7 linked regions of the Bombyx mori genome follow. The protein of the gene in region 5 binds, or shares a complex with, the protein of the main gene of each other region. Links are inferred from orthologs where the notes say so. Each region holds a gene or a part of one and is shown on either strand. Other genes may lie near its edges. The genes, in order: mediator of RNA polymerase II transcription subunit 25, mediator of RNA polymerase II transcription subunit 31, mediator of RNA polymerase II transcription subunit 19, mediator of RNA polymerase II transcription subunit 4, mediator of RNA polymerase II transcription subunit 23, mediator of RNA polymerase II transcription subunit 8 and mediator of RNA polymerase II transcription subunit 20.

Region 1 (3,596 bases), on a different chromosome or scaffold from region 5:
GCTTGTTGATTATCTGCTGCGTTATCTTCTGCTGTTGGATGACCTGGTCGAAAGATGGTTTTTATTGTTTTATTGCTTAGTTGGGTGGACGAGCTCACAGCCCACCTGGTGTTAAGTGGTTACTGGAGCCCATAGACAACTACAACGTAAATGCGCCACCCACCTTGAGATATGAGTTCAAGGTCTCAGTATTGCTGCCCCACCCTTCAAACCGAAACGCATTACTGCTTCACGGCAGAATTAGGCAGGGCGGTGGTACCTAACCGCGCGGACTCACAAGAGGTCCTACCACCAGTAAAAAATTCTACATTAATTTGCTGTAATTCTCCAAATTCATATTCTAAGCTTTTTTGTCAGACGCGATTACTAAATATTAACTTGGAACACGTGATCAAAATTTCAATTGTATTAGTACTTCTCAAGCAAAGTAATCAAAATATTCCGATATTGATTTTTGAAGTTATACTTCTTTAGGCGCTTTATGAAAAATTGATGAGAGTGAAATTTTACGATGCGCGCACCGTGACACAAAATTAACAGAATGAAGTTGCCCACTAAATCGCTCATTACAATACGACCGACGTAACTTGGCGAGCCTGAATATTTTTTATATGAATTTATACGATGTCAAGAAAAGGGATGTCCAATATGCGTGTTTGAGGATGTTGTTTAATCGATTTTTTTTCAAATTGATTAAAATTTAAATTAAAAAAAAAGAAATAAATTTACTAAAAATAAAGTGTAACTTCTTACGCGCGTACATAAGTACACGCACCCTTTTTTTTCCAGAATTTGCTTTCTACAAAAATACAATTTGAACTCCCACTTCAAATATAATGTTTGACGTTGATTATTCTTAAACATTTCATCAAGTGATATATAACACAGTAAAAATGCTTACACTTCTAAGTCTGTCGACGAACGCGACTTGGTTATTAGGAATGAATCCCAAATAAGCCTTTTTGTCGGGCGTGTACAATAACATTAGCACTTTTATGTCACATTGAGGCGGCGACGATATTGGATTGAAGTGTACGCAGCCAGCCTGAAACCAAAAACGTATTATTTAATTCCAATACGTGAAGCAAAAAAAGCATACACCGCTTAATACATACAAGAGTGTAGGACATACAGCAAACAAACACTCCACATACACACACACACACACACACCCTTATAACTATACATTTCCAGTGGACTAATTTTAATCATAAATATATTACTTAGTTGTGTTTATTTATAAATTGTAAGCTGTGTAGTTAAGGAAAGTAGTGTGCCATTTCCACTACAAATATCTATTACAGACTAGCTGACCACGCAGACTTCGCAGTACCCTTAATAGATAAATAAAAGACACATCAAGGGGACACATCAAAGGGAAAACAAAATTGTTTGCTTTTATAGAATTCCAAGTTTTTTTACCCTTCTCTGGACTTCCACGAATAATCCAAGACCAAAATTACCCAATTCGGTCCAGCCCTTCTCGAGTTTTAGCGAGACTAACGAACAGCAATTCATTTTTAAATATATAGATAGATAGAATATTCGTTTGGAAATAAAGCGGTCAGAGCGGTTAGAGCCCCGTGAGCTCACCTATTAGTTCTGTGAATCTAGTATAACCCCTCGAGGTAACTAGAATAGGTAGGAAAGTAAAAAAAACCTTTTTATTTATTTATGTTATGTGACTTTTTGACTCCCATTGGAACCAAAAAACACCATGACATGACTATTTAAGGGTAAACATTTTAAAGCCTTCGATCTGACATCAGCGTTTTATCAAATAAAACTACAACCTTAAAAGGTAGCAATAGTGGCAAGCGAAGTGGTTCATAACAATTAATAGTAGCTACATATTGGATTACATAAATTTCACAAAAATAACGCTTTCAATATCAAACAAATACTGTTTTACCCTGTCCAAATTAATTAAATTGTAAAGTTTATTTAGACGACCATCTACATACAGGCATGGAATACAACTTCTAAATCCCACTGATAGTACGTTAACTTTGCTTTGTTCTATATGAAAAAAAAAAAAAAACTATTTACTAAAGTAGAAAAAAAATTGTAATACTCACATACCCGTTGACCATAACGTTGGTTAAATGGTCGAGGGCTTCGCTCGGCTGAAGGTGGAACAGTACTGACTTGCTGTCCTTGAGATACTGTCCTCCGATGTTGCTGATCAATTGCTTCGGCATCAACTGCATTAAGAGCTTACTCGGCCACGTGTCCGCTTTCAATTCGGGTTCTATGTCTTTTGAAGTTGTCGATACCTATAGTATATCGTAAATCGTGTTAATTACGTCAATGATGAGTATAGATTTCACTGGTGGTAGGACCTCTTGTGAGTCTGCACGGGTAGGTACCACCACCCTGCCTATTTTTGCCGTGAAGCAGTAATGTGTTTCGGTTTGAATGGTGGGGCAGCCTTTGTAACTATACTGAGACCTTAGAACTTGTATCTCAAGGTGGGTGGCGCATTTACGTTGTAGTTGTCTATGGGCTCCAGTAACTACTTAACACCAGGTGGGCTGTGAGCTTGTCCACCCATCTAAGCAAAAAAAAGGATATTTGTACTGGTTTGCCTTACAATCCCGGGCTAGGCGCGTCCAGATCGTTATGTCTGAGCAGGCAATAGAATTGAACCCGGAACATTGCAACTCACTTGACAAGGTAGAAGTTTGGTTGTCTTCTGCTGATCTCCCGGCGCCTTACCCTTCTCCATGAGCTCGATGACGCCGCTCCAGATGTAGCTCCTCTGCAGCTGGGGTTGCTGCGTGTTGCTGGTCGAAGGAGTCGCCGCCATCATGCCCGGCATCCTCTGGTGAGGTGCACACTGCTAATTATAATGTAGATATGTGTCGTTCGCGAACGAATGAATCAAACCACCCGGGTCTCTCAAAATCCGCGCGAACGATAACGGGTTACTTCAAAAAATATTAGTCGTTCACTAAATCGACTCGTTTAACGAAACCTACGAATCAGAAGAAAAGAACTATATTCAAATTCAAATTCAAAATCATTTATTTCAACTTAGATGTCAGTATGACACACTTGTTGAATGTCAAAATACAAATAACAATGTTAACTCTACCACCGGTTCCAAAAAAAGCCACAGTCCTGAGAAGAACCGGCGAAACAAACTCAGCGGGCTTTTTTTTTTATTTTTTCTCAAATATTTTCTTTTTTTTAAATAAATAGAAATATTCACAATAAAAGAAAAAACAAGTCAAAAAAATACAATTAAAAATAATAATAATAATAATGAAAAATGAAAAGGCCAGGAGCAAGCGCCTCATTCCCACGTAGTGCCATCTAGTAAATAATCCTTAACTTTATAATATGCCTTGTTGCACAAACGTTCCTTAACAGTTTTCTTAAATCTATGAACAGGTAGTAGTTGAACGTTTAGTGGGATCTTGTTGTTATACGATAGTCATTCGGGTCGCCGCGTCTCGCTCCGCGCCCGTCTCGGTTAGTCGTTCGTTGTCGCCTAATGACGCATAACGCATTTGAATTGTTTTGATCTCACGTAAAAAATCGAACTATAGCAGTTCCTTTAAACTGTAATTCAATACTAAACTTTATCCAGC
Region 2 (4,298 bases), on a different chromosome or scaffold from region 5:
GTTTTTGCACGTGAGTGTACCATGCGCAAACTTACCCCCACTACGTCAACAAATGCTCAAGAAGTTTGCCGGTTATTATACAAAGGATTTGTTTATGTTCAATCAAATAAAATTCGTTTTGAAAAACGTTCAGTGCCCATTTCAAGTAATTAAATATATTTTTTATGAGTAAGACTACGTATATTTTACTACTACACAGAACAAATATTTTAATATCAGCCAAATTATTTTTATAACATAACAAAGAGGTTTCATTAACACCCATTTAGATAATTTAGAGGGAGATCTTTGTCCCCCGGTGGGACATCCTACTAGAGGACATGCCCAATATTTTTTTAACATTATTATACACTACTATCTGTACCCGTCCGCTTCACTGGGCATTTAAAATTAACATTATTATTTCTCACCCCCACAAAGATTCACATCATTAACGCCCCCGCAACTGGTGTAGGGAGTCCAACACTCATATAATTAGCCTATCCATTATGTACATGTATTTTCTACATGGATAACAAGTTCAAGTCAATCGGATGCATGGTTCAGTAGTTATAACGGAACATCCATAAAAACCACTGTAGATTTATTTATTAAGTATAGATTTATAAAAAGTTTATTTTATTTTCCACTCACTTCTAAAACAACAATCATGAACATCCTAAGTTTGTTGTCTTGGTGGACCTTGTTGTGGCGGTGCGGGCGGCGCAGGAAGCGCCGGTGCGTCCGGCGGTTGTAACGTGCGTGTACGCCGACGAGTATAATGTTGCCATAGCAATATTGCTTGATCGTCCATGAATTTGCAAACCTTAAGGAAAATATTAATCATTCATTAATGAAGATATTTTGAACAGTACCTATCCATCAGAGTGATCTAAACACAGGCTTTATTTAAAAATTGTAATACATACAAATTATACTGCTATCGGATAAAATTAAAAGCGGTATTTGGTCAAGGGCCAGTTTGGCACAGTCATAAATTTTATATTTGGTAGAGTACAAGAATAAAGCACAGCTACTAATGAGGTGGTAAATAAAAGCCAATAAATTATAATAATATGACTTTTGCAGTAACTTGTACGTGGTCATTAACAATTACCAAATTTATATTCTTACATTCAAACTAGCTCAATTTCATTTGCATATTTTTTTTACTGTTGATTTGTAAGTCAAGCTCTGTTTTGGTTTTAAGCCCATAAACATCATACTGTGAAACCTATAAATCATAAAACTATATCAGAAAAAAAAAAGGCCAAGTAGTGTTAAGTTGTTACCTGAGCCCATAGACATGTACAAAGTAAATGCCTAAACAAAAAAAAATACAATGGCTGCCCCACCCATCAAACCGAAACACATTACTACTTCACTGTAGAAATAGGCAGGGTAGAGGTACCTACCCCTGCGGACTCACAAGACATCCTACAACCAGTAACTACACAAATTATAATTTCGCAAGTTTGATTCTTTTACTAGATGGTGTTATTCCTTAACTGTGGAAGTCAATAGTGAACATTTGTTTAGTATGTATCTCATTATAATAATTGGAACCTGCCTGCAGGATCTGAACACCTTTGTATCGCTTGATATGAATGCGTCAGGTCAGCCTGAGCGATAAGCCTTCAGGCCACAACAAACCTTCATATAAACACTACTTCAAAAACTGGACCAAGGTGGTCACGACCCTCAGCAATGAGGAAACGACAGAGAAGAAGAAGAAGAATGTTTATCAGCGGACTTAAAACCTATGGCATTATCTACCGCTCAAGCAAAGATTATATGGAAAATAATTTAGTAGGTGCAATTTGTACTCACTTGTGCCGATACACATTCTCTTCTAAATGCTTCATGTTGTAATAACTCCAAAAAATGCAAACACATGGGATACTTCAAATATCTAGCATATTCTGGCTCTCTCCAATATTGCAAATATTTAAGATAGTTTACAAAAGTTTGTTCTTTAAGATAACCTCGCTGTGCCAAAACTGTAAATAGACAGAGTTGACATAATTGACATCCATTACACATAACATTTAAAAACACTGGGCAGAAAAACATTTAATCACAAAATAGACGATTAGAAACTAAGTCACAATAACAAAATCATTAAACCGGTATGAAAAATACCTAACAATTTATTACTTATTTCCCTCTTGTGATGATTTGATGACCAACTTGATAGCTTCAGATCAGTCATCACATTAAGTTATCATTATAAGTTTCCATAAGTGTATGTATGCAGTGAGCAGCATTAGCCTGCATAAGTTCAAGTGGCAACATTTACATTATGATGTCTATGTACTCTAGTAATCATTGTATACCAGGTGAGTGTGAAGTCTAACAACAAAAACCAAAAAGGCAACTTACAGTGAATGTAATTTGGATTTGCTAAGCACTGCACAAATTCAAGTTCCACTTGAAATCTTATTCGATTCTGCTCTTCAGTTTCTGGCATTACTGCAATTAAATTAAAGATTATTAATTTATCATGAAATAACAAACTGTTAAATAAAATTATTTCATTCTTTCTTACCTTTTCCAGCCATCATTTTGAACCCGAAATATATGCAGCTGGAGTATTTAAATTATTCAAAATTAAACAAGTTGGTCAGTGGTGTACGTCTCAACAAATCTATGACCAAAATAATAACATATTTTCAGGTTACACAAGACAGTTCATTTTATCCTTATATAAATATGTGATATTTAAGATTTTATCATTACTAAAATGTTACACAGTACTTAGTAAGCTCTTAAAATTTTTAAATTAATTAAATCACATAAATAAATTTGTGTATATATTTTTTTCCGAGTCCTACACAACGTAACACAACTACACAATACTACATAGATTATACACTTAATATACATAGATTATACACTTAATATATACGAGCAATACTACACTACACATTAAGTTAGTCTATGACTATGATCATCATCCTACTTAGGCTTAATATTTGGCCTAAAGGTACTATACCTAAACTTTTTGGCGGGAACGCGATGAGTGAAGTTGTGTGATTTGTTTTATTTTGTCTATTTAATGTTTCTTCAAGTTTAAATGGGTTCCTCCAAAAAGTCCACTGAACAAACCACAGTAAATGATCACCATTTTACTGAGATTATATTTCATCCCATATTATCTCATTCCATTTAATTTCATCCCAGTTGATTAATTTCTCAAATTAATCATCTTCATTTCATTTCACTCCATATTATAATTTTTCATAAAAATAAGAATATAAATTAAAATAAAATATAACTTAAAGGTCTTAGTTAACAGGTCATAACATCCCTTAAAAAAAATCTGGTTTAAATGTTTAATAGAGCTGGTTTATTAACTGTTTAATATCTGTAAAAGTGCACAAATGTGGGAAAATAAAATATAGCCGCTGAACATAACTTCTCGGGATCCTCCAACAAGTCCACAGAAAAAGTCTCAATAAATAACCACCATTTTACTGAAATTATATTTCATTCCATATCATCTCATCTCATTTCATTTCATGCCATGTTTCGTATTAATCAGCTTCATTTATACTTAATATCATTATTATAATATTATTATATATATCAAATAGATATAATTATTCTTAAAAAATCCTGTTTATAGAGTATAAGTATATATACTAAGTTTATTCTTCTATATTAAATGAATTTCTACTAAATGTCCCTGCAATATATTTCTTGAACTTATAAATAATTATCATTTCAACAAAAACAGATTTTGTGTGCATTATATTTACATTTTTTGAACTAAGTATGAATTTAGGAATTATTAATTTTATTATAAAATACAAGTATCTTAACTATCTCCTATTGCATGGTAATGAATAGTATCATTAAAAATAACTGAACTGAAAACCACGCTAATTGTACTTTAACGACTAATTGACCGTCTTCACTCTTCACCGACATTTTTTTGTTGAATTATTGTTGAAGTTTTCAATATTTTTTTGATCCACTTATGAAATAATTAGACAGTATAAACCATAGATTATACACTTAATATATGTATAAACCATGGAGTTAATAAGTAGTAACTCTATGGTATAAACGCAGTTCTTCTTCTTCTTCTTTATTTTTGGCTCTGGCACGTTTTGTGCATTAGCCAGCGTCAAGTAATAACGTTTTTATAATTCGCCGTTTTATTTATTTACAGTTTATAAATAATAAAAAACGAAGGAAACTTATCGCAACAAAACATAAATGATTTAGAACGAATTGAATTTACAAAAAAAATCAGAATAATTATATAACAGGGAAAATAAATCAAAATTATAGTTTAATGTTATTATTTAATA
Region 3 (4,176 bases), on a different chromosome or scaffold from region 5:
ATCTTGATATTATATTGCTTTCACGGCAAAAATTTTAGTGACTACTTAACTTGCTTGAAAGTGAAGAAATACTCTCAAAATCCATTAATTTGCAACTCGCACTCGCACATACAATAATCGAGAGGCTCACTTCGGTAAAGCTATTTGATACATGAGACAGCAACATAAACAAACCTTCTCTCTCCCACAAAATGAGATTCATAAGCTTACCACTAGGTGGCACTGATACAACCTCACACAAAATAAACATAACATTAACATCGACTGAGTAATTAAAAAAACTTGCACTAAGCACAGGTACATTACCCATTACCCGACTAATTATAAATATCGTTAGAAAGCTTGGCATTTCAATTAAACGCCTTAAAAAAAACCTTGCGTGCTACCAATATAAAAGAAAAAAATATCGCTTTTCAAAATGAATAAACGTCCTGCAAATCAAGTAACTCGCACTCAGAGCTCCGCACGTTTCACCGTGAAGAGCGTACACTCGATGCGAGTCATTCGATTCGATTTTTGAAACTCGCACTAAGCCTACGGACGTCTTATAGTTTAAGCCAGGACGACTTAAACAAAAAAAAAAGCCTAAGCATTTGTTTCAATAAGAATGTTTGATTTTTTTACTGCTTCAAAGTTTGAATGAGCTCATGCTTTCTTGTTTAGTGGATTTTTTAAAGATTGTATGACCTGTTACCGAGACCTTTTGTTGGACGGTTAAATTTGAGAGGACTGGGTTCTGTAGGTGAGGGGCTATTTAAAAACACTCTGCTTCATGGTTAATATATAACACCATTACAATATTTTATTTTATAAAACCCTAAGATGTTGCATAGTCCGTGTCTAGAAGAGAAGCCATTGTCCTCACTCAAGAGAAGACTCATCTGTTTTAAATATTTAAATAAGCATTTCAATATTCGAAAACTGTAACCTTACATGTGTCAAGTGTTACCTGCCATTACTTACATATTCAAACTCCAACACCATTGGACCAGTTTTAAAGTGTTTTCAAAGCTCATAGACATCACAATTCATTTTCCATACAAAATTATCACGGAAGCTCCAAGTGCTTATGTGTCAGAACTATAATAGACTATTTCAACTAATTCAAAACAAGTCTATTTTAATTAGACAGTTGCTATTTTAATTTGAGAATTGCTAGTATTTAATTTAAATATAAATTTCTTGAGAACCAACAAAACCATGTACCTATTGTTATGATTTTCTTTAAATAACAATATTAGAGTCTGTGGGAGTTACAAAGCTAGTGTTGCAACAGGACTTTTTGGCGGGAACGTGAGGAGTGAAGTTGTGTGATTTGTTTTATTTTGTCTATTTAGTGTTTCTTCGGGTTTAAATGTGTAATAATGGTGGTTTATTAAGTGTTTAATATCTGTGAAAGTGCGCAAATGTGGAAAAATGAAACAAAGCCGCTGGACGTAACTTCTCGGGATCCTCCAAAAAGTCCACTGAAAAAATCTTAGTAAATGACCACCATTTTACTGAGATTATATTTCATCCCATTTCATTTCATTTAATTTCATCCCGTTGATTAATATCTCAAATTAGTCGTCTTCATTATTTCACTCCATAATATTATTTTTCATAAAAATTGAATATAAATTAAAATAAGACATGACTTAAAGGTCTCAGTTCCCTTAAAAAAAAAGTGTTGCAACATTGTTCCTACTTTTATTTTTTAGAGTTGTCAAAAGCTTGGGAGTAGGGAAGGTCTTTTTAATTTTTTGTGATTTTGTTTAGAGTATTTAATTTATTTAAGTTCGTTTCGTAGATAATGGTCATCCAAGATGATGTCTGATCAGTTTAGGAAAGTAGAACCATATTCGCCAAAATCGTCGCCGAGGGGTGCGAGGTCACCAGTCGTCTCTCGCCAAGATTCTTCTGGTACACTCAAAACTACTATATCCTTAGGCAAAAACCCGTCTATAGTGCACAGCGGACCATTCTATTTGATGAAAGAACCCCCGGGTCAGTATCTCCAACTCTTTAACATTCTCTTCTCAAATTCTTAAATAATTATATTCAGGAAGTGACTTCGACGATTTCTTTTACAGGAGAATGTGAACTGACAGGCGCTACAAATTTAATGGCCTACTATGGACTTGTACATTCTTACAGTAAGTTTAATGGCAAAAAGCTGAAGGAATCCCTATCATCTTTCCTTCCGAACCTGCCGGGCATCGTTGACGGACCTGGGCAGGACGATAACAGTACTCTAAGTTCAGTTATAGCTAAGAGACCAATTGGTGGTAAAGAATTACTGCCATTAACTAGTGCTCAGTTGGCAGGTTTTCGATTACACCCTGGCCCACTTCCTGAGCAGTACAGATATGTGAGTGCAACACCACCAAAGCGACATAAAAGCAAACATAAGAAACATAAGCATAAAGATGGTGCACCTCCTGGGCAAGAGACACCTTTACAAGGTAAGAACTCAGAACTCAACAACATTGATTTAATAGATTTAGCTATGTCCCAAGCTTGTAGACAATATTACAAATTAGCCACCTGTAGATGCTATTTAGGTCTAGGTGAGTCTTCCAGGCACTTTGACTACATTAATCTAGTTAAGACAGTATTTGAATTGCAGTGTAATTGTACTCTGCATTTTACATTTTGTGGTACTAACCCGTGCGGGCTCAGAAGACACCCTATCAATTATTTTTAGTGAGTCTGTTTACAACACTGTCCTTCACTGTGGAAGTCAATTGTGAACATTTGTCAAGTACATATTTCATAAGGAAAAATGGTACTTATCTGCGGGATTCCAACACTAACACAGTCGCATCACTCAATATGAATGCACCAGGCGTCTTATTCTTTAGGCCACAATGATTTCATTTAACTTTAGATGTCAAGTGATACTTTTTAAATTGCTTTATAAGTTATATTATTTATACTCCATTTTTGTCTTGAGTTTTAATATAAAACATATCTATTATTCTAGATTCATCAAATCCAGACACATATGAGAAAAAGCATAAGAAGCAAAAACGTCATGACGATGAGAAAGAACGAAAGAAGAGAAAAAAAGAGAAAAAGAGAAAAAAGCAAAAACACAGCCCTGAGCATGGAGGCCTTACACCAAACCAACATCCATTACCGTAAATATAAGTGTACAAGTAGGTTTAAGTCGAATAATGAGCCCAAAGAGAGTATTGTACTAAAGATGACTAAAAATTAGTAATTCATTGTGTTCTAGTGATATTCCATTACTAGTGAAATGTACCTCTACACTTTGTTGTGCATATGACTAAATGTATGAACGGCACTCATTTGTTGAAACTACACGTGCTATCTATCATAAGTTGATTGTAATACGATGGAATGTTGTTAACATTTCATTAAAGTGGAAAGTTTTCCTCAATTGGTTGAATGGTATAATAACACAAGAAGAATAACATACAATTGGTTGTGGCCTAAAGGATAAGACGTCTGGTGCATTCGTGTTAAGCGATGCACTGGTGTTCGAATCCCAGGCAAGTACCAATTCTTTTAATGAAATACATACTTGACAAATGTTCACGATTGACATCCACAGTGAAGGAATAACATTGTAATAAAAGTCAAACCTGCAAAATTATAATTTGCGTCATTACTGGTGGTAGGACCTCTTGTGAGTCCGCATGAGTAGCTACTACCAGCCCGCCTATTTCTGCCGAAGTAATAAGTTTCGGTTTGAAGAATGGGGCAGCTGTTGTAACTATACTTGAGACCATTGCATTTATGTTACATCCACCCATCTAAGCAATAAAATAAAAAAAAGAGTAGATTTATCTGAATCTATATTTCTTCATTATTCAATGGGGTGTATATGTCCATAAAATGAAGAAAAAACGAAGTTTTTTATCACATTTTAAACCATAATAAGAAAAATGAGGTTTGCAAGACTTTTGTTTTTATGAAATACCTAAAATTGCTAGTCAGGCAATGTTTTAAACTTATAGCTAATTTATTATCTTTACTTCATAGTAATTACTTTTGATTCTGAACTTAAGATTTCTAGTAACTTCTACTTGGCTTTCAACAGGTTCGATTGCATGGTAGATTTAATAAGATTTTGTTATGCTAAGTTACCTAATAGAGTTAAAATGCCATGATGGCAAGCAACATTGTGTTAAGTTGACCACTTTGAAAGAATAATCACATCATTCTCAA
Region 4 (4,320 bases), on a different chromosome or scaffold from region 5:
GCCCCACTCGGTGTTAAGTGGTTACCGGAGTCTATAGATATGTACAACGTAAATGCCACCACCCACCTTGAGACATGAGTTTGAAGGTCTCAGTTTTAACAGTATAACGTCAGCCACACCCTTCAAACCGAAGCGCATTACTGCTTCACGGTAGCAATAGGCAGGATGGTGGTACCTACCCGTGCGGACTCACAAGACATCCTAACAACACCATTCTTTAACTCCGTATTGACTGATTATCGGAAGATATAATATGAGCATCACAGCGTGTAAGTAACCATCCATTTTGATTGAATTAAGGATTCGAAGTCTCAACTGTTTTGTCTATTATCTTGCCCTTTATACCGAAACGAATAACTGGTAGGTGGCAATAATAGGAAGCTTGGTCGTAGATACGTATCTACAACCTACGCTATACCGCCAATAATTACGAATTATAAATAAACCATAACAATCAATATCACAATCTTTCAATCCTTTTTCAGTATTCGCAAGTCTAATAATTAATAGAATAATTTTTTTTGTGCAGTGTTTCAATAATTTTGATGGAATCAGATGTCCTTTATTTTGAGAATATTTTTATTACACCAATATTGTATTTCTTCTGACAAATATTCTGAACCTGTGAAATGGTTTTTTTTTATCTAAGCTTGAGAGCTATGTCAGTGTAACTTATTAAGTAGGTGAGCTCACGGGGATCTAACCTGACGACGTTGCTAACACTAACCCTAGCAAGAGCAATACTTTGCAGAATCTACCACGGGATCGGAAACGCGACCCACTGAAAAGATCCGGCGAGAAATTCAGTGGGCTTTATTTGTGGGTTATTTTACTAGCCGAGCCTTCGTCGCAAGCGATGGGTTCAACGAGAACGATGAATGATGACCAAACGATGTTCAAATTCATGAAAGTGCACAACGGGTAGAAAAATGAAACGAAATCGCTACATGTGGTTTTTCGGAGTCTTTCAATTAACGTCTCAGGAAATAAACACGATTTTACTGAGAGATCATATCATAATAACTAGACTCTACAATACTCTACATGGGTAGGTACCAGCGTACTGTGTATTTCTGCCGCCAAGTAATCATGCATTCTGATTTAAAGGGTGGAACACACTTTATAGTGTAAAATAGAAAAGTGAAGTTAAAGTTGGGGGCAGCAATCACTTTGTGATGTCTTTAAGCTCCGGTAACTACTAATAGGCCTTGAGGTCATTCACCCATCTTCATAAGAAAAAGTAAATCATCTCATCTCGTTACCAGTAGTAAATTTTATTTTATTTCTTATAACGTAAATAGGCTACGGCCTTATAAAACAAAGTTTGTAGATATAAATTATACTGAAACTCACTTTAAAACTAGAAAAACTGTAAAAGTACGAGAATAAGTTTCTCTATATCATAGAGAAAAATATTTCAAGGCTCTACTAATTATTAGTCTGTGCTTGCTGTGGAACATAGTCTATGACTTTCACGTTTGTCGTCTGCTGTATTGGAAACATCAAACAATGTTATTATTTTTACTGTAAACATTGAATGTAGTTACCACGTACATAGTAGCGTTTTTGATACAAGAAATCCCAAGAGTCGCAGCGTTGGGGGGTCGTTTGTCCAGTTCATATGATATAAGGAAATAATACATATCGTTTATATTAAAAAAAGCTGTTAAGCTATATAGAGCTATGGCGTCACATTTAAGTACTAAAGATCGCTTATTGGCACTAATAGATGATATCGAACTTATTGCTAAGTGAGTTAAAACACGATTGAACTGTGGAAAACATTACCGATCAACTTCATGTTCTAATTCTTTAAATTTTCAGGGAAATAATAGAAGTTTCCATAGCACCAAAACCACAGAAAGTGTCCGCTGCAGATCATGCTCAGTTGACGGACCTACTTCTATCAAAACATGGAGAATTGAAAAAAACATTAGACCTAGCTGACGAACAAGCAAAGATCCAACAGAAAATGAATGAACTCAAAGCTGAAGTAGATAGTAAGGTAAATACTACAAAAGAGATTTATTTTAAGTAAAAAATGGATAAAATTTTGGAGTGGACTGACTCATCCACTGCTAGTTCACAACAATTTAAGCCACAAGCGAATTATGTAATTGAAATGTTTTTGTTGTGTTACTAAGGATCAAGATATATATCACCTTCAAAGACAATTGAAAGATGCAGAACAAATTCTGGCTACATCACTGTATCAAGCTCGACAGAAACTTGCATCAATAGTGAAGTCTAGAAAGAGACCTGTACCCTCTGAGGAGTTGATCAAATTTGCACACAGGTTAGTAAACAATTAAAGATTTCTACATTGAAATTAAATATTTTTTCTGAGTCAGGTCCTTAAAACACATGATGAGTACTCCTAAATATTGAATATTAAATATTTATGATCTCAACAGAGATTTCAAACCTGACCAATGACAACAGTGAGACAATGATAGTAGGCACATTGACTAACAAATAAATCAATGAGATGTTTAGTATATTAACAGTTGATTAAGTTTATTAATGCAAAAAGTCTGAATGGATATTAGGTATTGTGTCTGAATAGCCAACAATGTTATGAAAATAACTATCTACAGAAAACAGTTTCTTTCATAACTATAGAGTTACACTTTAATTAAATTACATTAAAAAGAATTTTTAAATATTAGACAGTACACTATTTTTGATGTGAGAACTAAATAGTACTTAAAAAAACTTTTTTTGACTTACTGATATTTTACAGAATAAGTGCATCTAATGCTGTCAGCGCACCTTTGTCGTGGCAACCTGGTGATCCTCGTCGGCCTTATCCAACTGATTTAGAAATGAGATTAGGAATGCTCGGTCGCCTCTGTGATCTGCCATTGAATGGTCACACGCCTTCTACACTGAATGAACTTCATCGTATAACAACTGGTGGAGGTATAAATGCATTACTCATTATATTAATGAATCATTCTTAGAACAAGTTGCATATGTATAGAACTCTTTGTGCAGTACATATTTATACAATTCTAGTATTGGTACTTTATCGTTATAGTTAATTTGATTCATCTACAATAAGCATGTATTATCATAGTTATTAATAGCTATGAGAGAAGTGGGTGATAGGGAACACCAAACACCTAAACTACTCAGCAAGTGCTTTGGCAGATATATCATGTTTTGGACCACTGTATTAAACTCAAATATACAAGAATAATATTTTTCAGGAAAGTTGAATTAATGATCAAATTTCTATAGGATTTGTAAAGAATAAAAAAAATCTCCTATGTTATTGCCACCTCTTTTTATTAATATTGTCAACAGAGGCTTCCTTCAAAACCCATAACCCATGGAAATTATTTAAGAATATTCTTATCATCAGAATTTTACAGAAACATTTTACCCTTTTGTTAATTGCATTAGGTAAAAAAAACATGTAAAACCATTTGCTTGTTAATCAGGTTTACTGTGTTATATTATTTCAGTACCAGCTTCAGCTTCAAGCCAATTCACTTGGCATCCATCAGGCGAGCTACACATGTCTGTTGGAGGCGGTAACTCTGTAGCTATTGATGGCCGAGGGAAGGATGCTCCCAACCAAGAAGATGTTGAAGTTATGTCCACAGACTCCAGTTCAAGTTCAAGTAGTGATTCACAATGAATACAGAAAAACCGTGGACTTCATTTTGATTAAAAGTGTAGTGCAACTCAACAAGTTAAAAAGACTGATGCTTGTGTTTATTATGAAAAAAATATTTGTAGAATTAATTCAAATGTTATTTAAATATCCTCATAGAAATGACATAATAAAAAAATTTATTCCACATAATCGTTTTGTTATATTTGAACAAAAATTTAACCTCCAAATTTATTTTTCGATATCTATGCACGCGAACTCTGCGATTAAGAGTTGGAAGTGCGAACTAGCCTGTTGACATAACCCAAACAGTTTCTCGTCAGTTCTTCTCAGTGGGTTGCGATTCTGATCCTGTAGGTTTTAACGAAACATTGCTCTTGCCAGGGCCAGTGTTGGCAAACTCTCTCAGGTGGAGCCAGTGAACTCATACACGTCCGCGCGTTCCTGGAATAGCCCCTTAGGCTACCAACGAATGGGTAGGTAAAATATATCAACGATCACGAGGCCCGATAGCACCGGAATATATTACAACTAATACTACTCATAGGAGTTGTATAAGTGTTTGGAGCTTTAAGACAACTTAGTCCGGATACTATTGCCCCTAGGATTTAGTACTTTAACATTTATTTTATTACTGGTGGAAGGTCCTCTTGTGAGTCCGCGCGGGTAGGTACCACCACCCTGCGTATTTCTGCCGT
Region 5 (4,209 bases):
ATGTAATTTCCTCCAGATTGACACCCAAAAGCCTCTAATCATCAGAAGCAGGAACATTAGAGGGGCTTGTATCTGAGATGGTAGTAGAACACATGTGTCCCAAATCACCAAGTCACATACAGCTGATATTGATCTTAAACCCCTTTTCCAATTTCATTATATGGAAGTGTCTTATTTTTTCCACTGTTATTCTATAAATTCACAACTCGAGTGATTATGTATGTTAATATGTAATGTAACATAATTAAAATATCTATAAAGGCTATTTTCACTAAGGACACAACAATGGAGAAATGAGCGCTTTAGTTACTGTAATTAATTTCCATTTGTCTCTTGAGCATATAGGAGAACTTTAATTGTTGCCAATCTCTAATAATGTAGGGGACACAGTATGGGAAGATATTATAATGCCCAGATGCAAATTTCTTAATCACACTTCTAAAATAATTGAAAATTGTTGGTAAATGAAAGGACCCAAAATTGACTTAAATTATGACCAGTAATTTTAATGTTTGAATTTGATAACAGTAAGAATGAAAATAGGTAATTTATTTATGTATTTATATAATCTATTTATGTGTTTGGTAAATTTATCTATTTATGTATTTATAATAGTTACTTAATACTGTTTGTAAAATATTGTTACATTTTTTATTGATTTACAGTTTTTATCAGTAAAAAGCTGCAAGTTTTGAGACAAGACAAGTACTGTTTAAATAAACGTGCAGATAACTGTAAACAATATATATAAAAATAAGTTAGATAATTTTTGTTACCAATTAAGGAAACAACAAATATATTTAAATTTTTTTACTGCTGAATTAAAATAATTGACCTTTTTAAATTTATGTTATTTCATGAAGGTTAACAAGGATGATCACTAATTTAGAATTGTTTACATTTTTCAGTACTTTTATGAAAACTGTATACAACACTTACATAACACAAACATATACATCAATTATAAGCACATAAAATATTTCAAGAACATCAGAGGTTTCAAGAATATACAAAATTTGCAAAAACGAAAATGTGTTCATAATGCAAATTATGCTTAAATATTAAATAAGACTAAAAATTCTAAACTGAGTAATTTAAAAAAGCTATTTTAATATTCTCATTCATTGTTTTTTTATTGTAAGAAGTTTGTAAAAGATTTTCAAACAGCATTTTAAATATTATTTCAATATACTGAATGTACTATTAATATGTTTTATTTAATATTGCTGCCAATTCACAGTTTGGTGTTCTGACACTGCAAATTTTATTTATCAATAGTTTTATACTTTAAGATGTCTTAGTTGATTAAAAAACAAGGTTTCTAGTTTAATCCCTTTACAAATTTTATCATTTGCTACAGTGCTATGTACAATTTACATTCTGTGATAAATCTAGCCCATCGGTCAAAGTTTAATTCAGAATAAAACAAATATTTGAGATATTAATTTATCTTAAAAACTGAAACAAATGCATAAGGTTAACTTGGCAACAGTAAAATAGAGTTGACAATTCCATAGTTTTAATGAAATTTGAAATATTCTGTTATTTTCATAACATAATTGCTTTTTTATTCATTTGATACTTAGTCCTTACGTTCCATGTTAGACTAAATTTATTACACATTGTAAACACGCTAGATGCTTTAAACCTAAACATAAATGAAGCAATCAACCTTCACATCAAGCCAGCTACATACAATAAGCACGTGGACACAAATATTAATAAACGCAGAACAGTACATATTCAGCGCGTAATGAATGAGATGAAATTAATTTTTATTCATAAAACCTCTGATCTCGAAGTACAACTTACCATCAGCTCATGAGTCCATGTTTGCAACTAAGAAACAAGTTCGATTATTTGTAGGTTTTATTCATGAAAAACAAACAATAGTAAACAACATTTTGTTCATAATTAATGTAGATGATCATGTGAGTAATTTTTTTGTCAGTACCTATTATTTTCACAGATGCAGGGCACAGTAGAACGTTTACCTTTATATTTACCAATATATTATTAACCAAGAAAAATATATTTACCAATATTTCATTCACTATGTTGGCGACTTGCGAATCGGCCATTTCCGTGATTATATTTTCCTCGAACATGCGCTTGGATTGACGGTCACCTTTATACAAAAAACTAGCTAAGCACTGGAGCATCCAAACTACGCTTTCAACAAAACACCGAAAGGTTACAAAGTTATCGGTACATGTCTTTCAGAATAATAATTATGTATAAGATCTTTGACGGAAGAAGTTAACTCAAGAAAGAAATTTTAATTACAAATGCAGCTGTTAGGAATTATGTTCTTCTTAAATTTACATGCCAACGTTAACAAGTAAAAACTGGGATACTTAAACCATCACTACGCGAAATTTAATAAATGACTAAATGCATTGAATAATCTATGCTAAATGTGGACACTGGACAATAAAGGACTTTTTGGCGGGAACGCGAGGAGTGAAGTTGTGTGATTTGTTTTATTTTGTCTATTTAGTGTTTCTTCAGGTTTAAATGTGTAATAACGGTGGTTTATTAACTGTTTAATATCTGTGAAAGTGCACAAATGTGGGAAAATGAAACAAAGCTGCTGGACGTAACTTCTCGGGTTCCTCCAAAAAGTCCACTGAAAAAATCTCAGTAAATGACCACCATTTTACTGCGATTATATTTCATCCCATATCATCTCATTTCATTTAATTTCATCCCAGTTGATTAATGTTTCAAATTAATCATCTTCATTTCATTTCACTCCATATTATCATTTTTCATAAAATTAAGAATATAAGACATGACTTAAAGGTCTTAGTTACCAGGTCATAAAATCTCTTAAAAAAAAAAAAAATGGACAATAAAGTTTGAAATGGACTTTTTGGCGGGAACGCGAGGAGTGAAGTTGTGTCATTTGTTTTATTTTGTCTATTTAGTGTTTCTTCGGGTTTAAATATGTAATAATGGTGGTTTATTAACTGTTTAATATCTATGAAAGTGCACAAATGTGGGAAAATGAAACAAAGCCGCTGGACGTTACTTCTTGGGATCATCTAAAAAGTCCACTGAAAAAATCTCAGTAAATTAGCACCATTTTACTGAGATTATATTTCATCCCATATCATCTCATCTCACTTCATTTGATTTCATCCAAGTTGATTCATGTCTCAAACAAATAATCTTCATTTCATTTCATTATTTTTCATAAAAATAAGAATTCAAAAAAAAAATTAAAATAAGACATGACTTAAAAGTCTTAGTCACCGGGTCATAAAATCCCTTAAAAAAAAGTTTGAACTTTACTCTTTGTATAAAATAATTCCCGGTTTACACTATTCCAGTCCAGTGATCGAATCCAGCACTGGATTGCTTACTGGAAAAATGTAAACTGGCACTGGATGCACTGAATCCAGTTAGCATTCCAGTCCAGTAACTGGATTGGCGGTCTACTTTTGAATTCAGTGCGACCAATCCAGTGCACCTGGATCCAGTGCCATTCCAGTGCTGACACAGTAAGCACGTGTTGGTTGTTTTTGCGGATTACTGGGGCGAATAAATTACTTAAAAATGGTGAAGAAATTATCTGACGATCAAATTTTAAAGCTTCTTATGTTATACGGAGAAAATCCTTGTTTATAGCACATATCATCAGAAGATTATTTAATAAATATATTACACATGTGTCGGTGCAACGTCACTATTTAGTTGACTTAAATAGTTTTCTTTTTCTTTCTTTCTGGCTTTTGTTACTTAGATTTAAATACAACTTTGCCAACGTCGGGTAGTGGAGGTATCAACATAATTTGTTAAGATTTTATGTGGAAGAATAAGCAGACTCGGTTTTTTAATATCACAAATTATATTTTATTCACATGACACAATCTTATTAAGTAGAGAATGTATCCATGGTAACAAGTCAACATTACTAGTGCGGCGACACGCAGCTAGTGCTATATCTCAACATAATTATGCTAAGACCTATTTAGTTTAATTTTTTTTGCATTAAACAGTTAGTAGGAACTACAATTTTATACTATTAGCGTTTATGAAAGATCCAAGCAAGTAGACTACCGTTTTAGTGGGGAAAGTTAATAGGAAGTTCATGTTGATGGGGAGGGGGATTATGTTTGTTGATAAAGTATATAGAGGATCACACTTATTGTTAAGGATACAGTTGAAGGATATATGATCCACAGTACCTTCCTCGGATTCACA
Region 6 (4,183 bases), on a different chromosome or scaffold from region 5:
AATAGTGTACAATACAAAATCTATTAAAGCATGATTTTTAAACTAAGCTTTAAAAAAAAACTAATATGAAATGAAAAATACATATAAACATACATAAAACAATAACTTAAATACACTTTTTTAAAGTGACAGGAAATGTTTCTTCATTTGACTCTTAGAAACTTCTAGAGAGGAACTAGCACAAATAGGTTGAGGGAGAGAATTCCATAATCGCACTGCTTGTATTGTGAAATTGCATTATCATCATACTTGTTTAAGTGGTGGGCAAAATCTTGGGCATCTCTGGTGGGCATCTTTCATCTTTGTCAAAGTAAAGTCATACCTACCTTATATGAACTAATAACTTAGGATATGTGTACAATGGTCAGAATAATCCCACCTGTCTTTTCTGTAGATATTCACCAATGACTGGGGTCTAGAACTGTGAGTAGCTGAGTGTATCCTGAGTCACTGACGTGTATAAGTATTTTTGTTATGAAGAAAACAGGCATGCCAGTTTGAATTATAAGATGCCTGCCTGCCATACAACTGAGACTTCGGGCATGTGTTTTGGGTCAGGTGAAATAAGATAAGCATGTGTGTCTAAATTTTATTGAAGACAAATTGTTTTTCACTACAGTGACCCGCATCTTTTTTCAACCTCTAGAAGTTAAAAATGGACTACATAATATGAATGAAATGTTTATTAAAATCTGTCAACTGTTTAGGTAATTATGATAATTTTCTATTGTAACTTTTACTAACCTGTAGATCTCATTGACTCTCCTTCCCAGTCTTCGCGGCCTTTGGATATAATTTCCCAAACGTGACTGACAACTTTAGTGAATTGAGCAATGTGTTTCTGGAATATAAAACTATTATAATCCATACATCATCCATCTATATAATTGTAGGTAACAACTACACAACATTACATGAGAAAGTGAGCTTGTTATAATTGCATGTCTTAAGTACTCAACTTGATTATCATGCTAATTTTGCAGACAAATCTTGATTATATAAAAGAACTTATTATACATAGTTTAATAGAATTCAATGATGATATGATTGCAATGATACTGAATGATGACCATGACCACCCTGACAAGTGATACAACAAAAAAAAGAAAGAATTGATACATACTTCAACCAAATATCTCAAAGCAAGAGGTTGATTTAACTCTGTGATATCTATGGGTCCCAGCCACTATATCTCAAGTGAGCTGTGGGTTTATTCACTCAACAGTGCATTACATGTTTTAACCCCAAATATATCTATTTTTTTACCGTTTACAATGAAAACTAATTTAGATTGCGAAGTCTACAAAGAATGTCATAAAAAATTAGCCCAAATAGTTATAATGGATATTTTTCCTTGTGGTACATTAAACCTTATGCTTCTTTAAATGTTTCTGATATTTAAAATTAAATGTTAATTATTGTCTATACCTGTGCTGTATCATAGCTTAAAGTACTAGCTTTATGATTAAATTGCTGGAGACGCTGTTCAGCCTGGGGTTCAGGTTTGGTACGAAGTAAATCTGGAACTAAATCATGAGTGCAAGCTGGAACTCTGCCTTCTGTCAAATGAGCCAGTGTTTCATCACGTTCGCAACTTAATTGAAGTGGTAAAACAATTCTAGACCGCAATGAAGCTGCTTGTTCGGCTTGGAGAATTTTACTGAGGCCAGTCAGCTGAAAATAAAGAGTTAATAAAATTTAACTAAATAACACATGATCTTTAAAGTGAAAAGCTTATGTACAAATGCACTTAAATCTGAAAACAAGTCTCAAAATGGGATAATACCTAATAAATATCAGTGACCACGCTAACCAGGTTACATCAAGTGAGTTTTGAACTCGTCAGTTTTTGTTTCACTGTTTTTTCAATAATAAATTAATTATCTTTCCTACTTCAAGTTGAAATCCATCTCTGTAGACTTGTTGACTATTACACACACTATTTATGCTATGAATTTCAATATACAATTGGACTTACGTGACCAGATAAAATCGCGTAATTATCTAGAAAAGTTGGCCAATTTATTGTCTCGTATTCCGTTTCTAGTTTATTTATCAATGCTTGTATTGCAGTTTTTAAATCATTTACTCTATTTAAAATCGCAACTATTGTAGCTTCTAGTTGCTTTTCTTCTCGCTGCTGCATATTCATTGTTGTAAATGGTAGGTACACAATTGTAACTTTTTAATTCTCTTTGTTAGATTTTAATAAGGTTTAGGTACCGTACCTTACCTAGCTATTAAATAACCGTAAGGGACTAAGGGTACATAAGTAATATATCTCAAAATGGTACCATACGGTACCTACCGTACCGTAAAATGGGGCGATTAGGGACAAATTCCAACTTTATGAGCAATTTTAAGGTAGTTGTTGATGTATATAATGCTAAATCAGGATCAAAATGATTGAGTCTTGGGGGCATCTTTGTTGTCTAATTTAAAATTATGCAACTAGCATTCCAGTTTAAGCAAAAAATGCAAAAATAGGTGTAATCCCTATTTACCCGAAAATTGCGGTTAATTGGGACGAAACGAGAAATTTGCTAGGGTTGGCACTACTTTTATTTTTATATATAGTTTTAATTTATTTATTTATTTAGTTGCACCAACAAAGTGATCATCAATAAAAAAAATTGAAAAACTGACAAAAGTACATGGCAGACATCACCTCAATTATAGGTGCAATCGACAGTGCTGATATTTCTATCTGGATTAAGAGATTAGGTGTGTCGGTTATTCCATGGATTAATCAGATGAATACCCCCACTCTGAACAAATATTAAATATGTAGCAAACCGACCGGTACGTCACTCTCGCGGCCGTATGCCCGCTCGCTATACATAGTTAGTATCTATGTCAATCTTGTAACAGTGTATAATCTATGTTCCGGGCGCTTCCGTTTTGAGTGTGAATAGCGTGCGCCCGCGTCTAAATGTAATTATTGTTTAAAAATTGAAAATTGTTTGTTATAAAGGAAGATTAAAATTCGAAATTCGATATTGGTGACTAACCCATAGTTTTAAATACCCCTGAGATCTACCCCTCACTATATCTGGCTGCCCAACGTTTCCTAATTTTTTTCTTGCTTGGACTAACAAAATGGCGCGCACGCTTTTGTGAAAAATTTGCTAACTATTGTATGCTGTTGGTGCTTAATTGTAAAGAATGCCTTTAACTAGAAGTCAAGATCGCCAGCAACGTCGCGAAGACGACGTTATTCCTGCTGCAGATGCAAATGCCAACGAAAATCACGAGGAGCATGATAGCCCCCATGATCGCCCCCACGCCGAATCACGTAGCAACAATTCTACGTTCAACTTGGATGATGTTTCAGCGTTGATGGCCTCGCTGCAACGTTCGCAGGCCGAAACATTTAAGAACATTATGTCGTACGTGATGGAACAAAGATCGTCGACTCCGGCACCTCCGCCGATGCCCCCAGTGAACGTAGATGGTACCTTGGCGCGTTGCAGAGCTTCTTTCAGCGGTGCACCTGGTGAATCTGTTGAGGCCTTTATAGATGCAATTGAAAGTTATACAGAATGCGTTCAAGTATCTGACGCTAACATCATACGAGGCCTAGCCATGCTTTTGTCTGCTGACGCAGCTACGTGGTGGCTAGGATTAAAGCATCACATCTCCACTTGGAACGAAGCCAAAGAAAATTTAATATATGCATATGGCACCCGCCTTCCACCACATAGAATATATTTGGAAATATTTGTTTCCCCGCAGGATAAAGAAAACACAGACAAGTTTGTTGCTCGTATTCGTGCGCTTATGGCAAAGCTACCGCGGGATGATATTGCTGAAAAAGTACAACTTGATATGATATACGGGTTGCTTCATAATAGAATACGCACAAGATTGCGCCGTGAAGAAATCACATCTTTCAATTCATTATTAAACCATGCTCGGAATATAGAAGATTCGATAGAGGAGACTCAATCGAGACCAGTGTCGTCCACTAGTGGTGTGCGTTCGATCCGTGCCCAGCCGGCCCAGGCTGCGAGTCGGCCTGAACCGTGCGCCGCTCGTGCGAGTGCCCCGGCGCCGCGCGCGCGCTTTCCAAACTCCGCCGCGGCCGTCGTGCCCGCCACCGCTGTGCCTGTCGCTGTCGCCCAGCCTACCGTTGCCACGCCTGCCGCTGCTGTGCCAGGTTCTGCAGAGCAATTCGTGACCA
Region 7 (4,373 bases), on a different chromosome or scaffold from region 5:
TGGCAGTGGGCAGGCAGAGGGCTTGCAATTTAATATTAGTAATAGACAGGGGTGCCTATCTGAGATCGATTAATCGAATCTGAATCGATTCACTGCATCGATATTTGACCCTTGAATATCGATGTTGATTTTTTCGGTTTTGGTAAAAACCAGTAATTTATTTACAATTAGCCTGTTATCAAGCAATAAATAGAATAAATACTTCAATTTTAGATAGTAAATCACAAGAACAACTTCCACAAAATAATAGTGAAGAAGTCGACGGAATCGAACTGATACGGAAGAAGTAATTTGGGATTTTCATAAATTGCTGATGAAAAAGCAACTTTTTACATTTATTGCACTGAGAAATGAAGGCTTAGACGAAGAAATTGAACACTATTTATTTGCAGGCAGTTGTGTACCTGAAGTATGACCACATACTTCACTGGCAAGAAAAGAAGAAAAAAAACCATCTAACACTACGTCCACTCAATAGCCATGTTTTTCTTTTATGAATGAGGGATCACTGGTGGGCCAGAGGCCTTTCCAGTTTCACCAGGACATGTGGGCGAGCAAAGGCTCATCCAGGAGAAGTGGGATGTGCTAACAGAGCCATGATGTATATGAGTATTGAGGCATCATCTTTACCTTGTGAGAGCGCTTCAATTGCCTGCAATAACGCAAGTGATGAGCGGAACCGCTTGGATCCCAATACACTTGACAGACTGTTTTTAAGAAGTTCGGATACTAGACGGTGGGAAAATCTACATTATCTATTAGAAATTATACCTAACTAGCGACCCGCCCTCGCTTCGCTTCGGAAACATTAAAACACACATGAAACCAAAAAAATAAAATAAAAAAAATTAAAAAAAATTAGCCTATGTTCATCAGGGACAATGTCGGCTTCTAATGGAAAAAGAATTTTTCAAATTGGTCCAGTAGTTTCGGAGTCTATTCGAAACAAACAAACAAACAAATCTTTCCTCTTTATAATATTAGTACCTAATGGGACAAGATTAAAGGCAATGATAACAGACAACACCATAGTTTTTGGATGAGATGAAATAAAAGAATCTCTAGTTAAAATAGTTAGAATTTGGTGAGAATTCAAAGATAATTTTAAAAGAACCCGAGAAACTACTAACAGTATCGACTGAGTCCTTATCTTACATGTTGAGATATAGCACTAGCTGCGTGTCGCCGCACTAGTAATGTTGACTCGCTACCATGGATACATTCTCTACTTAATAAGATTGTGTCGTGTGAATAAAATATAACTGATGATAATAAAAAGAGTCTGCTTATTCTTTCATATAAAATCTTAACATGGTAGCAGACCGCGTGTGCAGTAAGTAAATAAAAATATATTGGGTTGCGATCCACTAGAAATAATATCGGCGAAAATTATAAAAAAGAAAGATGACAACTGCGAGGTCTCTTCTGCCGATTTTGACTGAAAATTCAAATTTTAGTCATTGGAAATTTAGATTGAAATTACTGCTGGAAGAAAAGTAATTAAGCAATGTATTCTTAAAAGAGAAACCGACGGATCAGGATGACTCACGAGCAAAATCAATTTTGGTACAATGTCTGAGCGACAAATATATTTACATCGTAAAAAATGCGAATACGACAAAAGAAATGCTAACGTCATTGGAGGCCATATTTGAACGAAAAACAGTCTGTAATAAATTTTATTTAAAACGGAAACTCATAACAATGTGCTATGATGATGAAAGCAACTTACAGCAATTTTTCCTAAAATTTGAAGGAATTCTTAGCGAATTAGCGGCAATCAACGTAAGCGTCGAAGTAGAAGACCAAATTTGCTATCTGCTGTCTTCTTTACCAAAGATATACGATCAATTAATTACATCAATTGAGACTATGGGTTCCGAGAAACAACTGAACATAGAATTTGTTAAAGCAAGACTACTCGATATGGAGACAAAGTTAAAAATGGACAGAAATAGTGAAGGTTATGAGAATAATGCCTTCATCACGTGCCACTCCTGCGGAAAACGTGGACACAAATCATTCGAATGCCGATCAGGACGAGGACAAGCGCCGAGTAGAGGACAGTCATTGACACGAGGACGGAGCTATCCAAGATCGTGTGGACGCTCATTTAGAGGAAATTCAAGTTCACGACATACAACGTATCAACATGCTTCAGCAGCAGGCACAGAAAATAAAGAAATAGGTTTCATTGCTAGCGATATTATTGCTAATGTGGGTGAATGTGGTAACATAGAACTAATTATAGACTCAGGATGTACGGAGCATTTAATAAATGAAAAATATGAAAATTATATGACGGATATTACGTATTTAGATAAACATGTCAAAATATTCGTAGCTAACGGCCAATGTATTACAACTAGTAAAAGAGGTAAACTTAAAGTAAAATATCAAAATACTACGATTAATATTGATGCTCTAATTGTGAAAGATGTTTCATACAATTTATTATCAGTAAAAAAGATTGTCGAGGCAGGTTTTAACATAAACTTTAATAAATACAATGTTAAAATATTTAATAAAAAGACATTTTTACGCGGCATCGTGCAAGGAAAGTTGTATAAGCTACAAGCCGAATTATGTAAGTCCGAAGTCTGTAATATTACTGATGCGACAGATCTATGGCACAAACGTTTAGGTCACTTAAATAGGAAAAGCCTTAATATACTAAACTTACCTGTATCTAATAGAATTTGCAGTCCTTGTATGGAGGGCAAAGCCACCCGAAGCCCGTTCACGCCTATCCCAAAGCCTAGAACAAAAATGACAGCCGAGATGCTTCACACAGACATAGCAGGACCGATCAGACATCAAGGACCTAATGGTGAAAAATATTTTATGAAAATTATTGACGATTTCTCTCATTTTTGCGTAGTGTATCCCCTGAAGAGCAAATCTGAAGCAACAGAACGACTGATGAACTATGTATTAAGAATTGAAAACGAAACGGGGAATAAAGTTAAAAGAATTAGATGCGATAATGGTGGAGAGTACACTGCTAACAGTTTGAAACTTTTTTGCATAAATAGAGGTATTAGTTTAGAATACACATTACCGTACACGCCACAACTTAATGGCATATCAGAACGAATGAACCGCACATTATGCGACAAAACGAGGACTCTATTAGCGGAAACCAATTTGCCAAAACATCTGTGGTGCGAAGCAATACAATGTGCAGTTTACCAATTAAACAGATCGCCATCATGGGCCATAAGCTTCAAGACACCCAGCGGAATATTTTTTGGTAAAAACGACATATCGAGATTGAGAGTATTTGGTTCCAAAGCTTGGGCTACTATAGTACCCAAACCGGACAAGTTTGCCAAGAGAGCAAAAGAAACAAGAATGGTAGGTTATGGAACTGTTGGTTACAGATTATGGGATCCAGAAGAAGATAAAATAGTTATTTCCAGAGATGTAAGATTTGATGAAAGCGACATTAAATTCAAAAACAAAGAAGAAGTGAAACAAGTTAGATATATTCAAGACAAAGAAGAAGAAATCAATAAAGAAAAGCAAGATATTGTAGAACAGGAAGATGAATTTAAAGATGCAGAAATGAACACTGATCAAATTGAAGAAGCAATAATCAGACCCAAAAGAACGATAAATCCTCCTGCTTATCTTAAAGATTACGAGACGAATATAGAAAACATAAATGAAACTAATATTGTTATATGTCTGAGTGCAAATGCACCAGAAACTTTCGAAGAAGCTATAAAAGAACCAGAATGGAAAAACGCAATCAATAAAGAACTAGATGCACTCCAAAGACTAGAAACGTGGGAAGAACAAGAAATAACCGATGGAAGAAAGCTCATTGATACAAAATGGATATTTAAACTAAAAGAAGATGGAACAAAAAAGGCAAGACTGGTAGCTAGAGGCTTCCAACAAAAGAAAAAAGATATTTTTGACAGCGTTTATGCACCCGTTGCTAGACATTCTACCATAAGAATGATCTTATCAAAAGCTGTACAAGATGATTTAAAGATTATTCAACTAGACATTCCCACTGCATTCCTAAATGGAAAATTGAAGTCTGATGTATTTATCAAAATACCCCAAGGATTAGAAATAAAAAATAATAATACAGCATTAAAACTAAAGAGAGCATTATATGGATTGATTGAATCACCAAAATGTTGGAATGAAACACTTGACGAATTTGCGAAAGCTAACGGATTCCAAAGATCAGAATATGATTACTGTTTGTATTACAAAGAAGATTGCTGGATGCTGATTTACGTGGACGATACCTAATCATTGGAAACGGGGAAGATATTATTAAAGCACTTAAGGAGGAGTTTAACGCAAAATATATGGGTGAAATGAAGAACTTTCTCGGAATGGAAGTTAAAAGA

The links.
Region 1: mediator of RNA polymerase II transcription subunit 23 (region 5) and mediator of RNA polymerase II transcription subunit 25 share a complex: the UniProt entries of both Homo sapiens proteins name them as parts of the mediator complex. The link is inferred for Bombyx mori from reciprocal best matches to the Homo sapiens genes MED23 and MED25.
Region 2: mediator of RNA polymerase II transcription subunit 23 (region 5) and mediator of RNA polymerase II transcription subunit 31 share a complex: the UniProt entries of both Homo sapiens proteins name them as parts of the mediator complex. The link is inferred for Bombyx mori from reciprocal best matches to the Homo sapiens genes MED23 and MED31.
Region 3: mediator of RNA polymerase II transcription subunit 23 (region 5) and mediator of RNA polymerase II transcription subunit 19 share a complex: the UniProt entries of both Homo sapiens proteins name them as parts of the mediator complex. The link is inferred for Bombyx mori from reciprocal best matches to the Homo sapiens genes MED23 and MED19.
Region 4: mediator of RNA polymerase II transcription subunit 23 (region 5) and mediator of RNA polymerase II transcription subunit 4 share a complex: the UniProt entries of both Homo sapiens proteins name them as parts of the mediator complex. The link is inferred for Bombyx mori from reciprocal best matches to the Homo sapiens genes MED23 and MED4.
Region 6: mediator of RNA polymerase II transcription subunit 23 (region 5) and mediator of RNA polymerase II transcription subunit 8 share a complex: the UniProt entries of both Homo sapiens proteins name them as parts of the mediator complex. The link is inferred for Bombyx mori from reciprocal best matches to the Homo sapiens genes MED23 and MED8.
Region 7: mediator of RNA polymerase II transcription subunit 23 (region 5) and mediator of RNA polymerase II transcription subunit 20 share a complex: the UniProt entries of both Homo sapiens proteins name them as parts of the mediator complex. The link is inferred for Bombyx mori from reciprocal best matches to the Homo sapiens genes MED23 and MED20.

The regions. Positions count from the first base shown.
Region 1 is NC_085126.1:7,899,674-7,903,269, forward strand, and holds part of mediator of RNA polymerase II transcription subunit 25, read right to left. Parts: intron 2,843-3,596; coding exon 2,669-2,842; intron 2,277-2,668; coding exon 2,079-2,276; intron 1,046-2,078; coding exon 902-1,045; intron 44-901; coding exon 1-43. UniProt on the Homo sapiens protein: Component of the Mediator complex, a coactivator involved in the regulated transcription of nearly all RNA polymerase II-dependent genes.
Region 2 is NC_085122.1:5,746,439-5,750,736, forward strand, and holds the start of mediator of RNA polymerase II transcription subunit 31, read right to left. Parts: upstream 2,855-4,298; 5' UTR 2,544-2,854; coding exon 2,528-2,543; intron 2,452-2,527; coding exon 2,362-2,451; intron 1,980-2,361; coding exon 1,810-1,979; intron 806-1,809; coding exon 659-805; 3' UTR 634-658; exon of another isoform or gene 1-633. UniProt on the Homo sapiens protein: Component of the Mediator complex, a coactivator involved in the regulated transcription of nearly all RNA polymerase II-dependent genes.
Region 3 is NC_085116.1:16,053,038-16,057,213, reverse strand, and holds the start of mediator of RNA polymerase II transcription subunit 19, read left to right. Parts: upstream 1-1,280; 5' UTR 1,281-1,805; coding exon 1,806-1,986; intron 1,987-2,072; coding exon 2,073-2,444; intron 2,445-2,965; coding exon 2,966-3,126; 3' UTR 3,127-4,176. UniProt on the Homo sapiens protein: Component of the Mediator complex, a coactivator involved in the regulated transcription of nearly all RNA polymerase II-dependent genes.
Region 4 is NC_085112.1:8,189,490-8,193,809, reverse strand, and holds mediator of RNA polymerase II transcription subunit 4, read left to right. Parts: upstream 1-1,427; 5' UTR 1,428-1,683; coding exon 1,684-1,751; intron 1,752-1,824; coding exon 1,825-2,005; intron 2,006-2,144; coding exon 2,145-2,296; intron 2,297-2,743; coding exon 2,744-2,922; intron 2,923-3,470; coding exon 3,471-3,646; 3' UTR 3,647-3,814; downstream 3,815-4,320. UniProt on the Homo sapiens protein: Component of the Mediator complex, a coactivator involved in the regulated transcription of nearly all RNA polymerase II-dependent genes.
Region 5 is NC_085107.1:8,842,359-8,846,567, forward strand, and holds the start of mediator of RNA polymerase II transcription subunit 23, read right to left. Parts: upstream 2,844-4,209; 5' UTR 2,163-2,843; coding exon 2,040-2,162; intron 1-2,039. UniProt on the Homo sapiens protein: Required for transcriptional activation subsequent to the assembly of the pre-initiation complex. Component of the Mediator complex, a coactivator involved in the regulated transcription of nearly all RNA polymerase II-dependent genes.
Region 6 is NC_085118.1:10,646,204-10,650,386, forward strand, and holds the start of mediator of RNA polymerase II transcription subunit 8, read right to left. Parts: upstream 2,854-4,183; 5' UTR 2,153-2,853; coding exon 1,979-2,152; intron 1,675-1,978; coding exon 1,429-1,674; intron 842-1,428; coding exon 745-841; intron 1-744. Other genes in the region: uncharacterized protein LOC134199859, read left to right, coding at 3,166-4,183. UniProt on the Homo sapiens protein: Component of the Mediator complex, a coactivator involved in the regulated transcription of nearly all RNA polymerase II-dependent genes.
Region 7 is NC_085134.1:1,812,588-1,816,960, forward strand, and holds the start of mediator of RNA polymerase II transcription subunit 20, read right to left. Parts: upstream 2,854-4,373; 5' UTR 2,818-2,853; coding exon 2,684-2,817; intron 87-2,683; exon of another isoform or gene 1-86. UniProt on the Homo sapiens protein: Component of the Mediator complex, a coactivator involved in the regulated transcription of nearly all RNA polymerase II-dependent genes.